3 linked regions of the Arabidopsis thaliana genome follow. The protein of the gene in region 3 interacts with the protein of the main gene of each other region in a pairwise test. Each region holds a gene or a part of one and is shown on either strand. Other genes may lie near its edges.

Region 1 (4,450 bases), on a different chromosome or scaffold from region 3:
TGTAGTAACTATAACCGATTAATTTGACATTGCCAAACATCAAAAAAAAAAAATTGTTAACTTTAAGATGATCTTTTACTATTATAGACGGATCACCGACTTATGTGACGGTTAAACTACTAATGGATTAGTGTGGATTAGTGACGACTTTGAATAAAAATAGGAACTAGAAAGTTATCAATATTGTAAAAGAATGTTCAAAATTTACAATTAGTATCTCAAATTATAAATACTACTACAAATTGTTCTTACATAGTAAAGATATAAGTTCATACAAATATACAATAAAACTATATTGGCGTTATTGGTTTAGGTTCTCGAATGTTGGTTATTTCAAGCCTAAGGAGGAACGACTTGGGAAATAAGAAGCGACTAATAATGTACTTCTCTACTGGTATATGGAAATTACAAAGTTTTCGAAAACTACTCCAAAAAGTGTTCCACATCGATTATATATGATATCATGATTATATATAATCAAATAAATCCACAAAAAGAGTGTTTGGTATTTTTATATAACACGTTCTAGCCAAAAGAAATGAAGATAAACTATACAAGAAAGTGTTGCTAGATAGATCGAGATGAGGATATTGATCATTATTGACTGATGATGATAGCGAAAAGGTAAATTAAACAAACACATAGAAAAGAATAAGAAAATGGTATAGATAATAGAATCATGAATTACTTTTACAGCTTGATCATTTTTAAAATAAAATATACAATCAACATTAATCTGTTATTCACCAAAAAATAAAAGATCCAAAACCTAAAACTTTCTTTCGATCTCTCCCTTAAAGTTTTCAGTTCGCACGACGCTAAAAGGATTGTCAGTCCTTTTTCTCTGCTCAAGCACTCGTAGATTTTTAATTACATATCCCTTTTCAGTATTCATCAAGTGCATAATCATATAGTCTATGATTTTTATCAAGTATTATATCTATTTTCTAGGGTTTCAAAAAAAGATGCTCTTCGATTGCAGAAACTATTATGCACACCAACCTCATTTAAATAAATATATAATTCAATCGTCTAGATTATTTTCTATATTTTAATACAAATCATTCGGTTAGCTTTAGGTTAATGAATCAGTGATCTCACTTTTCTCTTTGCGCGTGTGACATTATTTTTGACCATGAAAAATTAAATAATTTTGGATTAAGAAATTATTAAATAATCCGGTTTAGGAGATGTTTTAAGTTTAGATTCGGGAGTGTTGTAAACTCTAACGTTTAGTTTCGGTGACAACTTTTAAATTCAATTTTGATAGTCGTGTATCTATTATCCAACAAAATCTCACTTAGAGATATCAGATATATCGCAAAATTAATCGAGATCAACTTCAATAGTTTCATCTTCTACGAAAGTAAAGTTGTCGCCGCCGGCGTCTTCAATTTAACGTGTCGATAACGTTCCATATTCGAGTTTGCATATGCATGTCACTGGAAATAATAGTTAAATCATCTAAATCGCATCCATTAATGATTTGATCATCATAAAATTTGGTAAAAAAATTACCTAACTCAAAAGTAAAATATAAAAATTAATCGTTTGAGTAGTTAATTAGTTTACCGGTATACTAGTTAAAAGTTTTTTTCCTTTGACGGCGCTCATATATATGTTTTAAAGTATATCAAAATAGGGATTTAATTCTTAAAGTTACACTAATCCTAATTCTTAAAGTTAACCATCCATACCAATTTACAGAAGTACAGAACTAGTGCTTGATACAGAGGAACAATTGATCTCATCGAAAGTTGGGACCTTTTTAAAAATAATACTATTATATATATATAATAAATATACAAATATATTTAATATTTATTCTATATATAAATATGTGCATAATAACAAATCTGAGTATGAATAGTAGGAGGGGTGTATAGGGCTTTCAAGTCTTTTCTTACAGAAACTATCTATAACTCTAGCAGAGAGCTCATTATAGAACAGAACAGAAACAGAGCTTTCTAAGTCTACAGCACAGAAATAAACCTCATTTACAGACTGTTTTACTTTCTTTCCTTTTTGAGCATTTCTTCTTTCTGTTTCTTTCCTCTGTTTTCTCTTTCTTTCCCTTTTTGGGTGTCATCTCTTTAAGACAGAAGAAACGTTTCTCAGAGTTTCCTGTGAACTCATCTGTTTGTTCTCTTCTTCCGGTTTCACTTTTTCATGTCCTGCCGTTATTACAACGAGGTTGGTTTAAAGATCAGCTTTTATCATTTTTCCCTGCATGTAACAAGAAATATTTAGGTTTCATGTCTGTTTACAAATATGCTCTGTTTCTAAGTATGCCTCTCACATTTGTCTTTGTTTTGGGTGTTTTTAGGATTGTGTTTGATCCGATGGAAGGATTGGAATCTGTGTACGCTCAAGCTATGTATGGAATGACACGAGAGAGCAAAATCATGGAGCATCAAGGATCAGATTTGATTTGGGGAGGAAATGAGCTAATGGCTCGAGAACTCTGTTCTTCTTCTTCTTATCACCACCAACTCATTAATCCGAATCTTAGCAGCTGTTTCATGTCTGATCTTGGAGTCTTAGGTGAGATTCAACAGCAGCAACATGTTGGCAACAGAGCTAGCTCGATAGATCCATCATCACTCGATTGTTTGTTATCTGCGACGTCGAATAGCAACAACACCTCGACGGAGGACGATGAAGGAATATCTGTGCTTTTCTCAGATTGTCAGACTCTTTGGAGCTTTGGTGGAGTCTCATCTGCAGAGTCTGAGAACAGAGAGATCACTACTGAGACGACAACAACGATAAAGCCTAAGCCTTTGAAGAGAAACAGAGGAGGAGATGGAGGAACTACTGAGACTACAACAACAACAACAAAACCTAAGTCTTTGAAGAGAAACAGAGGAGACGAGACAGGAAGTCACTTTAGTCTTGTTCATCCTCAAGATGATTCGGAGAAAGGAGGTTTCAAGCTTATATACGATGAGAATCAATCGAAATCAAAGAAACCAAGAACAGAGAAAGAACGAGGCGGTTCTTCGAACATTAGTTTCCAACATTCAACTTGTTTGTCTGACAATGTCGAGCCCGATGCTGAGGCGATTGCACAAATGAAGGAGATGATATACAGAGCGGCTGCATTTAGACCGGTGAATTTCGGGTTAGAGATTGTGGAGAAGCCTAAGAGGAAGAACGTCAAGATATCGACGGATCCTCAAACGGTTGCAGCGAGACAGAGAAGGGAGAGGATAAGTGAGAAGATTAGGGTTTTACAAACATTGGTTCCAGGTGGGACGAAGATGGATACTGCATCAATGCTTGATGAAGCTGCTAATTATCTCAAGTTCCTTAGAGCACAAGTAAAAGCTTTAGAAAACTTGAGACCCAAGCTTGACCAAACCAATCTCTCTTTCTCTTCTGCTCCTACATCGTTTCCATTATTCCACCCATCTTTTCTTCCATTGCAAAATCCTAATCAAATCCATCATCCAGAGTGTTGACAGATTATAAACTTTTGAGTTTCATCATCATCAACAGAATCATGGCGTCTTGATTGTTTTAGCAGTTCTCAAGAAAGGCAACTTCTGTGACAAGGGTGGTGTCGGGCAGTGTTGTTTACACTTTCCAGTCTTTGTTTTGCATTTCTTTTTATATAAAGTTTGTATTTTATATAGAATCTGTGGAATTCGAGGGTTGAAATATTGTGAAAAACAGAGCCGCAAGAGGTTAATTACAGTCTCTGCAATATTTTCAACCTTTTATTACTTTATTAGAGTAAAGATAGCGTAAGATAATTGCAATTATGAAGCGATGATTATCAACAAAAGTGTTTAGAAAGTGCCTCCATCTCTCTCTACTTAAAAAAGTTTAGCTTTACTTGAAGAACTCTTTTGGAGTACTAAAATATAAAATTAATATTCATCCTCTTTTTTTGGTACTCAATAAACTCTGTCTGTCTCTGTAAAATATGTATAAATTTCGTATATCTATAATGCAAGGTTATTTAATTTGTGTTACTTATCCATATAAAAAAACGATTTTAGTGGAAGAACTTATTATTGTCTTATAATTTTATTTTCACATAAGTGTTTTTTTGTCTGGCTCAAATACAAAACATAGTTTGGATGGAGTTTAGTAAGAGTTAAGAATGTTGAAGGCGTGCACCTTGAGAATATAACTTCACCTGACTCGTACACCCTAAAATGCTCACCACATGCTTCTCTATCTCACTCTCCATCTTTTTATTCTTCTTTTTTGTCTTTTGGTTTTTGTCTTATTTCGTCCCTAAATCTCCTTAATCACATTCTCTTTCGTTTAATAGTATTTTATGAAGTTCTTTTGATGGATGTGTTTTTTTGACTTGGGTACATTGACTATCAACTTTTTATTTATTCGCAATAACACTTACTTAATTGCTATTTTCAAAATAACATGCTATTTTGTTCTAAGCTTGGTTTACATTAAGAAAGTAACATGCTCTTGAGCT
Region 2 (5,143 bases), on a different chromosome or scaffold from region 3:
AAATATGTTCTCTAGTCACATATTTTAACGAAAAGTTTTAAAATAGCTTATCTAACAAAAAGCAAGTGTACAACATAAAATCCAACTTTTGGATTTATTTCACCACTTTCGGACACAATTGTAATAAGAACGGAAAGTTTCGAAAAGGGACAATAAATCAACTAAAGACGAAAAAGGATTAAGGTGAAAATCTTGATGCCGTTGACTTTTGTTCTCAACGGCCATGATTGAGCGTGTGATGAGTATAAGAGACCAAATTATGGCTATTTCTAATAACCCCAAAAAATAAATTGATTGATGAGTTTTTCTTCATTTGATATGTAATTATAATCACTTATTCCATTTCAAGATTTGTGGATATCTATTGATATTCTCTACCACTATCAAGAAGCTAAAAGTGTATTAAGTGCATGTACATTAGCTTAGGCCGAGAAGTTTTTTTTTTTTTTTTTTAAAGGTGATGTATTTGTGGCACTTAGGCTTAGGCATGTAATGTGTGGTGTGAGATGTTGCGCGACTTGCGAGTAACAAAAATGGGTCTCAAATATTGAGGCATGTATTTCTAACGTTTGCTATATATGCCTTTGATGTTCTCTAAATTCTATTTTATATCGTATTTCCATAGTAATATTCAGTAAAATCATGAAATTCGAAGGTTGATATCAGAGTTTATATAGTATAAAGTTTTAAGATATAAATAATCCATTGAAAACTCAAAACATAGGTACAAAATAGCACCATGTACAAATAAATAGCTAAAATAAAGTAATAAAGTAACAAATTAAAACACGTTTAATACTATTCATGAACTAATGTTCAAGTCTATTTAACATTCACATTTTTCCTTGCTTGTGATCTTCTATATAAACTTAAAATTAAACATGCATGGTTTCCTGATAATAATAAGATGTTTAGTTATATTAAAGAAAAAAGATAGTAGCTCTCAAGACTTAAGGCGGAAGCATAACCTTATTTTTTTTAGGTTGGTACCACAAGAGACCACAACTAAACATTTGGATGAATATAGGTATAACAAATCTCTTATGATATGTATATATCTGGCTTATATATGAATGCATACTCTACGAATGTATGTGACTGCTGACGACATTGGTGTTAGACTGTTGATATAATTATATGAGGCAGTGGATCGAGATTTGAGAACTACTTAAGTCAAGATTATCATACCGAGAATTCAAGATTTAGGTGACACATATTTTGGGAACCTCATTGGCCCATACACTAAAGAGGCGGTCATTCTTTCTTTATAACTCTAAACCATATTTTCCAACCAAAAACGGTCGATGTTAAGCTTTAATATGATGTTCAAGATATAGGATACGAGGGAGAAGATGATCGCTAGAAACTCCACAGCACCATTTATCTTCCTCTGTTGTGGGGATCACATTCTCCTCATTTTTATTTTTCCATTGCACCAGTTTCCACTATAGAAATTTTCATCAAATGTTAGTTAATTAATCATATCTAAATATATTGAATACTATTAAAGTATATCATAAATTCGTATCGAGTATTTAATGAATCGATGATAAAAAGTAAAATCAAAATAAAATCTCCCTTTATGGAAATTATACCCTCGAAGATCCTCTCCCGTCCTAAATTTTTCAAAAGACAACAAATAAATATATAGTAATCAAAGCAAACTTTTTCACTAAACCGGCAATAGCCGGTGTAATTCACGTCACTTCCGGGACAAAAGCGTGACTGGACACCGGCAGACAAATCACATCAAATAAATAATAGTAATATATTTAATTCCTCAGACAAAAAGGCTCTTCCACTTCTTATCGAATTACAAACATTTCATGTTATTGTTTGGTTATATATATAGAGAGACAAAGCTCTTAACTCCTTTTTAATTGCTTGAACAAAAAGCAAAACTCAAAGGAATTTTCTCTGTATTTTTTTCTATCTGCAGAAAATTAAAGAAAAAAAGAGAAAACTCAAAAACCCACATTTTTCCTCTGTTTCCAGCTTTTCTTTATCTTTGGAGTTTGGTTTCTGGAGAAGACAAAAGTTGTTGTCCTTTTTAAGAGTTCGAGATCCTGCAGAAATTAAAAGGGCTCTTCCCGGCTTGGATTCCTAAATATGGGTTCAGAGTATAAGCATATATTGAAGAGTCTCTGTTTAAGCCATGGATGGTCTTATGCTGTGTTTTGGCGTTATGATCCCATCAATTCCATGTAATTTCTCTCTTTTTTCTTTCGAATGTTATATGCATGTTCCTGTCTTGGATAATATTTGCATAAAACTAGTTTTGTTTTCCGTTGATTTAGGCAAAAGACTGAATTGCATATCCTCTGGTTTTATATGTGGCTTCCCTACTTTGGTGTCCATAAATGTAATTTAGTTTTGTTGAATTCCATCAGGATATTGAGATTTGAAGAAGCATACAATGATGAACAATCAGTCGCACTAGTTGATGATATGGTTCTCCAGGCTCCTATCTTAGGCCAAGGGTATGCTTTTACACTTCACTCAAATCTTTTATATATCTGTCTCTGTGTTTGTGTTTATATATCTTCAATATACTTTTCTTTTGATGAAATTAGAATTGTGGGAGAAGTAGCTTCATCCGGAAACCATCAATGGCTGTTCTCAGACACATTGTTTCAGGTTTGTTCACTTCTTTTTCTTGGTGTTTGATTTTTCTCATCTGTGAGCTATAATGTATGTCGAAATATAGTGACTGCATAGAACATTTCATGATGAAGAAGAAAAAAGATTTGATATTCGTGCGTTTGATTGTTTTGCAGTGGGAACATGAGTTTCAGAATCAGTTTCTCTGTGGCTTTAAGGTAATTTATATTTTGTCTTCTCTCCAAGTTTAAGGATTCATATATCCATTTTGAATCAGATTCTTATACGGCAGTTTACTTATACACAGACTATCGCAATCATTCCACTAGGATCCAGCGGCGTTGTTCAGCTAGGATCTACTCAAAAGGTTTGCATATATAATTATATAACAATGTTTTCTTGTTGTGGAAGTCATGGTCTAATTACTTACTATCAATCTTTAGATTCTTGAGAGCACAGAGATATTGGAACAAACAACAAGAGCTCTCCAGGAGACGTGTTTAAAGCCACATGATTCCGGTGATCTCGATACTCTGTTTGAGTCACTGGGAGATTGTGAGATTTTCCCAGCTGAATCTTTTCAAGGATTTAGCTTTGATGACATCTTCGCTGAGGACAATCCTCCTTCTTTGCTCAGCCCTGAGATGATCTCCTCTGAAGCAGCTTCTTCCAACCAAGATCTGACCAATGGAGATGATTATGGGTTCGACATTCTCCAGTCTTACTCTCTGGACGATCTATACCAGCTGCTCGCTGATCCACCAGAACAGAACTGCTCTTCCATGGTGATCCAAGGAGTTGACAAGGATCTTTTCGACATTTTGGGGATGAATTCTCAAACGCCTACAATGGCTTTGCCACCTAAAGGACTCTTCTCAGAGCTCATAAGCAGCAGTCTTAGCAACAACACTTGTAGTAGTTCTCTCACGAACGTGCAAGAGTACTCTGGTGTGAACCAGAGCAAAAGACGGAAGCTTGATACATCATCGGCGCATAGCTCAAGCTTGTTCCCTCAGGAGGAGACAGTAACAAGTCGGAGTTTGTGGATTGATGATGATGAGAGATCAAGTATTGGAGGGAACTGGAAGAAGCCTCACGAAGAAGGTGTGAAGAAGAAAAGAGCAAAGGCAGGAGAAAGCAGGAGGCCGAGGCCTAAGGACCGTCAGATGATACAAGACCGTATCAAGGAGTTGCGAGGGATGATTCCAAATGGAGCTAAGGTAAATTGAATAATAATATAGTTTAGTTTAGGGCATCCAAATTATAGATTAACAAATGCATTCTCTAATAAGTTTCGATATATATTTAAACAGTGTAGCATAGATACGTTGCTGGATCTGACCATAAAACACATGGTGTTCATGCAAAGCCTCGCCAAGTATGCAGAGAGACTCAAACAACCATACGAGTCTAAGGTAATGAATCAAATATATCCATTCAGTAAGTACACAAGTGTTTGAGTATTGATGAGTGAATGATGTTTATCAGCTGGTGAAGGAGAAAGAGAGAACATGGGCGTTGGAAGTGGGGGAAGAAGGAGTGGTATGTCCGATAATGGTGGAGGAATTGAACAGGGAAGGAGAAATGCAGATAGAGATGGTGTGTGAGGAAAGAGAGGAGTTCTTGGAGATAGGACAAGTGGTGAGAGGATTGGGATTGAAGATATTGAAAGGAGTGATGGAAACAAGAAAAGGACAAATATGGGCACACTTCATCGTACAGGCAAAGCCACAAGTCACAAGGATTCAAGTCTTGTACTCACTTGTTCAGCTCTTTCAACACCACACCAAACATGATGATTTATTATCATAGTATAATACCTACCACTTTGATTTTCTTTCTTTTTGTTACAACAACAACACAAGAATCTGTTGATAAATAGTAGTAACATTACATCAAAGAAGATTGTATGGGCTCGTGGAAAAAAAAGAAGAAGATTGTATGGGCTTTAAAACATTGACTAAGACAAAGAAAGAAGGCCCATTTAAAGAAAAAAGGAACGTAACGACACCGTTTTGGGTGGATAACAGTTAACTGACTGAATCAGAAAATAGATGCCCGTTATCCTTGACGAGGATAAAGGGGAGACACTGTATATAAATAAAAAGTTGAACAAAGATCAAATCCTCAATCTGTTTTTAGGGTTTCGAGAGAGAGAGAGAAATTGATTTTTGTTGATATTTGTGAAATTTGGTGGCGAAATTGAAGCTTCTTCATCGGTCGTTGTCTAAAAGCAATGGTGGATGGTTGATGAATGGAGGAGATGCTCTTCTTCTTCTATCCAATAACAATAATAAGAGACACGACGCTGACACAAACGCAGAACCATCTCACCACCGTCATCATCTCGGAGATGGCCGCCACACTCCTCTGTTCCCGATCTCGATTCCGATCGGCGATCGACTCCTATTGCTTCGCCCGTGAGGCCTTCTCCGATCCAATCTCCTTCCATCTCCTCACCCTTCTGTAACCACCAATCATCATCCCTCCTTTCTTCTTCTTCTTCTTCTGCTTCCGGATTATTAGTATCATTAGGTTAGAA
Region 3 (5,482 bases):
TATGTGAACTGAAATTTCTATGTTTTGTTTTTTCACACTGAAATTTCTATCTAACTGTCTTTCTTTTAACATGTTTCAATGATTTGCTTCCGAATAGAACACATAATAATTGTTTCCTAAAATTTTAAGAATTTTGAAGTACATAGTAGGCATTTGGGTCCACTGATCTCACACGGCAACGACTATTCTCAAATCTCATATCACATCAAAATAAAGAAAAAAGATTCAACGAGAAATTAAAATCTTTAGAAAAAATGTTCCAAAAAGAAAAAGAAGTCATCAAGGCAATTAAGCACTTAATTCCCTGTGCATTTTTTTAATCATTCACTTGCGTCTCTTTCTCTTTTTCTTTTTTTTTCTTCTTTCACCAAACTTGCTTACCTCTTTATTCGTTTTCTTTTCTTTCTCCTATGATCATGGAATTTGGTGGATGCTCCAACGTTTTTCACCTCAATCACTTATTAAAATATCATGTACAATAGTTCGTAATTATATATGAAAAAACGAGTGGGCTAAATTGGTGTTTTATAAGCCACGTCAAAAATATTGTATTATTTAGCTAGCTACTAAACTAGTCAAATATGTTACAATGTATATAGTTCAATTTGTATCGCGTCATCGTAAAGACATAAATGTTCCAAATCATCCCACCCACACACCTAAAAAGAAAGGTTAATACTTTAAAAATAATGATTATAGAAACCACCAAAATGGTTAAAAACTCACTTCCACTATTTGGCTCATAATTATAAAGAAAAAACGTTGCCCCCCCCCCCAAAAAAAAAAAAAAAGTTAAAAAGAAGACGAACATATAATGGCTTTACTTTAACGAACTACTAAGAAATTCTCACGTTTATGATATTACATAATTATTAATTTATGGCTTGAAATTATGGATCGCGAGGGTTTGCCATTATACATCATAATTACATATATTCTACGTTCCACCTCCTCTACTCCTCGTCCCATTGCAACCATCCAAACTAATAAAAATATTTAGATTATTTCTACCATTCAATTCAAAATTATATGCATTTTAAATTATACTATATGTATTTTCTAAAATAAATTTAAATTGAACTGAATTAAATAAATTTAATTTTTCTTTATAAAAAATATGTGTTAGAAATATGAATTGAAACTCATACTAAAGTGTATTTTAGTTTTAATTTCTACTAAAAAGAATAGTAAAAAATCAAAATAATAAGACTATATCCAATGTTCAATTCTATTTTTTCTTCTATTTTAAAATTGACTCTATTTTAAAGGTATTTTATTTCATTGTATGACTCTAAAATAAAGTTTTCTCTAAAATAGAAAACAAATATAGAGTAAGTTGTCTTTTGTTCTATTTATAGAGTAATCTCTACATTTTTCTTCTATTTTAGTAGTAACTCTATTCTAAAATATATAATAGAGTAAAATTAATTATATTTCTTCTTAAATTGAGTTAATATTAAAATAGAAGAAAATAAAGTTGGGCAATGGAGATGGTGTTATGTTTTGCTCAAATGAGTTTTTAGAGTTGATGTTCCAGCTTGGTTATCTAAATTTTGGAAGAGAAAGAAAAATGAAAAAAAAAAAAAAAAAATCTGAAATAAACTTGGTTGATGTGAACTGTTTTTTTCTTTTTCTTTTTCTTTTCCTGGTCTCCATTATTGACGGTAAATAAAGTGGTGGAAAAGGGTAAAATCGTCACAAGAAATAAGAAGATGTATAAAGCAATGTCACACACTTCAGTCTTCACGCCCACTTTTAGTGAATTTGCTAAAAATATATTTTCGAAATAATATTCCGCTTTCTCGTTTCTTATCCGTTCAAGCTTTCGTGAATTCGTCTCATAAACCTCTCCACTCTCTCTGGATCTCCACGCATAGATCTTCCTCTGTTTTCCTCCATGTACGCTTCTTGGATTCACTTAACCATTGTTTGTCGCTGTGCTCTCTCTGTTTTTTTATTCCTCGAAAAAGTTGAATTATCAGCGAATTTGATGCAAATGTGTTTAAATCGTTACCAAAACGGATAAATTCTTCTATTTTCGTAGCTTGGCTTGCAAAATCCAAGCTTTTAGTTCTTGATTTTGCTAAAATAAATTATACTTGTTCAATGCTGCAGAACATGTACTTATCTTCTTCTGCTGTTTATGGTTTCTCTATCCTTTCAATTGTTGTGAATGTTTGGTTTCTTTGGTTTGTTATTACTGGAATTTGATGAGATGATTCTCTGTTTTGTAACAGAATTCTTCTCTCTTTCTCTGGATCACAACAAAGCAGTGAATGAGAAAAACAGCATGAGTTGGTTCACAAGGTCTGTTGATGTGTACCGTAAAGTTGTGAGCTTGAATCTGTATTGCCGAGTTATTCTGTAAACTTTTTCTCTGCCTTGAAAAACCCCATCTTCAATCTTCTTCTAAATCCTCAGCCTTTTCTAAACTCTTTAATAATGGGATCCCAACGTTTCTACGTTTTCCACTGTGACCAGTATAGGATCATCTAAACCCTTAAAGCTTCTCTTTTTCTTCTTCAAGTCATCTGTCTTTTGGTGACTTACTCTGTTCTGTGGAGAAACACTAGTTTTACATTCGAGAGTTTGGAAAAGTTATTATTATGGTAAGTCAATCAGCTGGTCAAACAAGATTTCGAACATTCAAGTACGAGAACAACGGAGACTCTAGCAGACCAACAATTGTAGTGAGAGTTATTGCTTGCTTCCAACCGATGGATAATTGTCAGGTTTGTTGCAGCAAAAATGATATTATACTCTTTTTTTTGTCACATTTCATCTCATAGTCCTGTGTTTCTTATCTAACACTTTTGTCTCTGTTCCACTTGCAGGCTGAATACTTTAGACATATACTCAAACCAGTGACGTAGTTGGTTTGTGAGCTTGTGTTTGTATTTTTGGAGCTGGCACCTTTTTTCTTTTTGTCTCTACTTTCTTATACGATTGTTTCAAGAAAGAATCAACAAGTGTTGCGTTCCACACATTTGAGCAACAGCTTCCACAATCGGTATGCTAACTGAATCTTTGACTCTTTATGGATTATTGCTTTCTTGAGTTGGGCTACTAGTAGTTGTCTCATTCATAGCCATGTCCAATGATTAGTCCCTTTCCTTTTTCGTGCAGTATTGTATTCCTGTAAAGTTCCCTTGGCTTAAACTGCAAGAGCATGCCTCTTGATACCAAACAGCAGAAATGGTTGCCATTAGGCTTAAATCCTCAAGCTTGTGTCCAGGACAAGGCGACTGAGTATTTCCGTCCTGGAATTCCTTTTCCGGAACTCGGTAAAGTTTATGCAGCTGAGCATCAGTTTCGCTATTTGCAGCCACCGTTCCAAGCCTTATTGTCTAGATATGATCAGCAGTCTTGTGGAAAACAAGTTTCATGTTTGAATGGGCGATCTAGCAACGGTGCTGCTCCAGAGGGGGCACTCAAGTCTTCTCGGAAAAGATTTATAGTATTCGATCAGTCGGGAGAGCAGACTCGTTTGTTACAATGTGGATTTCCTCTGCGGTTTCCTTCTTCTATGGATGCAGAGCGAGGGAACATTCTCGGTGCCCTACACCCAGAGAAAGGGTTTAGTAAAGATCATGCCATTCAAGAAAAGATATTGCAACATGAAGATCATGAAAATGGCGAAGAAGACTCGGAAATGCACGAAGACACTGAGGAAATCAACGCGTTACTGTATTCTGATGATGACGATAATGATGATTGGGAAAGTGATGATGAAGTAATGAGCACTGGTCACTCTCCATTCACAGTTGAACAACAAGCGTGCAACATAACAACAGAAGAGCTGGATGAAACTGAAAGCACTGTTGATGGTCCACTTCTTAAAAGACAGAAACTACTGGACCATTCGTACAGAGACTCATCACCATCCCTTGTGGGCACCACTAAAGTCAAAGGCTTATCAGATGAAAACCTTCCTGAATCAAACATTTCAAGCAAACAAGAAACGGGTTCTGGTTTGAGCGACGAGCAGTCAAGAAAAGACAAGATTCACACCGCTCTGAGAATCCTGGAGAGTGTAGTTCCAGGGGCAAAGGGAAAAGAAGCTCTTTTACTACTAGACGAAGCCATTGATTACCTCAAGTTGCTGAAGCAAAGCTTAAACTCATCAAAGGGTTTGAATAACCATTGGTGAAAAACCTACAACCCCTTTTGTCCTATTGATAAGGCATGTTTGGTTGGTTAAAGAGAAGACATGGGACAAAAGATAATCAATGAGGTAAAGGACTGATGAAGAAGATTCTCTCAAATTCATTAACGTGGGTTTGAAACAATTAGAACACGCCTGGTGACCCTAGTGGGACCGTATCCACTGTTCATCTAGCTGGATCAATAGTGGTTTACTTTTGGATTTGGCATGCTCTCTCAAAAAAGAACCAAAAAAAAGTCACTTTCTTCTGTGCTTGGAGTGGAAGAAAAGTGAAAGAAGGGAAAAAAGCAAAGTCTTGGTGCTCATTGATCGTTAATAATTATCTTTACTCGTGAGTAATAATAATATCTCTGTGAAGGTCTGGTGGTGGTGGGTGTGGATGAAGAAAAATCAAAAAGGCAAATATTGAAATTTTTGGAGTGGTTGTGACTTGTGGAAATTGAAATCTTCCCACTTTCATTAGGTGAAAATCTATGTCCCCACTCTCTCTTGTCTCATTATTACTCTTCTGTTGCTATCAATCCCATAACTTGTCATCTTTTTTGTTTTTTCTAATCTCTCTGGCTCTTAAGCTCTTCAAAGGCCTTGTAGTTTTGTACTATTGTAATGTTATTTGCTTCTGTTGTTTCTCTCATGGGTCTAAACATGTTTGTGTATCATGTTCATGTAATAAACTCGAGTGTTAATAATGGAACCTTCTTTGGCTTCTTACATGCTAGGATTTTGCTCTAACCTTTCAAACTATCATTTTTTCTATACCAAAAACAAATTTTGTAGACTTATTATTAAACAACAACCATACAAGAAAAACCTCCACAATCTATTTTTTGTTGTAAAATTTGGACTTTTTGAAATTTGACGTTACATATGAAATGTTATGGACCTTGCCTAAGGAAACACATCTTCCGACTATGCAGCAAAATCTTCTGGTGAGGAAATCTATGTGTCTCATGACCTCCCACGTAAAGAACAAAAAGATATTTAAGAATCACAGTGAAGAGAAGAAACCTCTATTTTATTCATCCACCATGATTAATGAGCTTGATCTGATTCTTCTTGCTAAGAGCATAAAATTTTCACCAACTTATTTCTCCATCTTAAGATGATCCTTCATTCTCCAAGCTGCATTTGTTATGCACCAAGATCAAGTGAAAGCCGCTGGCTATTCCCTCTAAACCAACATCTCGAAAAGCATTCAAGATCCTCAAGCAAGCAGAAGCATCAAACTCTGTCGTTTTAGACTCTTTCCACTGATGGATAATCTCCTCGGCTTCTCTCAAATGACCAAGCATTAGATAAGATGAAAGAACACAAATG

The links.
Region 1: the proteins of AT5G09460 (region 3) and AT3G21330 interact in binary tests that used the Arabidopsis thaliana proteins (3 or more experiments, as listed by UniProt).
Region 2: the proteins of AT5G09460 (region 3) and AT1G64625 interact in binary tests that used the Arabidopsis thaliana proteins (3 or more experiments, as listed by UniProt).

Annotation. Positions count from the first base shown.
Region 1 is NC_003074.8:7,505,378-7,509,827, forward strand, and holds AT3G21330 (basic helix-loop-helix (bHLH) DNA-binding superfamily protein), read left to right. Parts: upstream 1-1,862; 5' UTR 1,863-2,193; intron 2,194-2,326; 5' UTR 2,327-2,342; coding exon 2,343-3,464; 3' UTR 3,465-3,809; downstream 3,810-4,450.
Region 2 is NC_003070.9:24,014,769-24,019,911, forward strand, and holds AT1G64625 (Serine/threonine-protein kinase WNK (With No Lysine)-like protein), read left to right. Parts: upstream 1-1,887; 5' UTR 1,888-2,109; coding exon 2,110-2,204; intron 2,205-2,390; coding exon 2,391-2,480; intron 2,481-2,573; coding exon 2,574-2,637; intron 2,638-2,777; coding exon 2,778-2,819; intron 2,820-2,878; coding exon 2,879-2,968; intron 2,969-3,044; coding exon 3,045-3,821; intron 3,822-3,914; coding exon 3,915-4,016; coding exon of another isoform or gene 4,017-4,061; exon of another isoform or gene 4,062-4,089; coding exon 4,090-4,413; 3' UTR 4,414-4,503; downstream 4,504-5,143. UniProt on the Arabidopsis thaliana protein: Transcription factor that may regulate root development.
Region 3 is NC_003076.8:2,943,105-2,948,586, reverse strand, and holds AT5G09460 (transcription factor bHLH143), read left to right. Parts: upstream 1-1,747; 5' UTR 1,748-1,899; intron 1,900-2,237; 5' UTR 2,238-2,732; intron 2,733-2,834; 5' UTR 2,835-3,010; intron 3,011-3,126; 5' UTR 3,127-3,169; coding exon 3,170-4,150; 3' UTR 4,151-4,849; downstream 4,850-5,482. Other genes in the region: AT5G09450 (Tetratricopeptide repeat (TPR)-like superfamily protein), read right to left, coding at 5,263-5,482.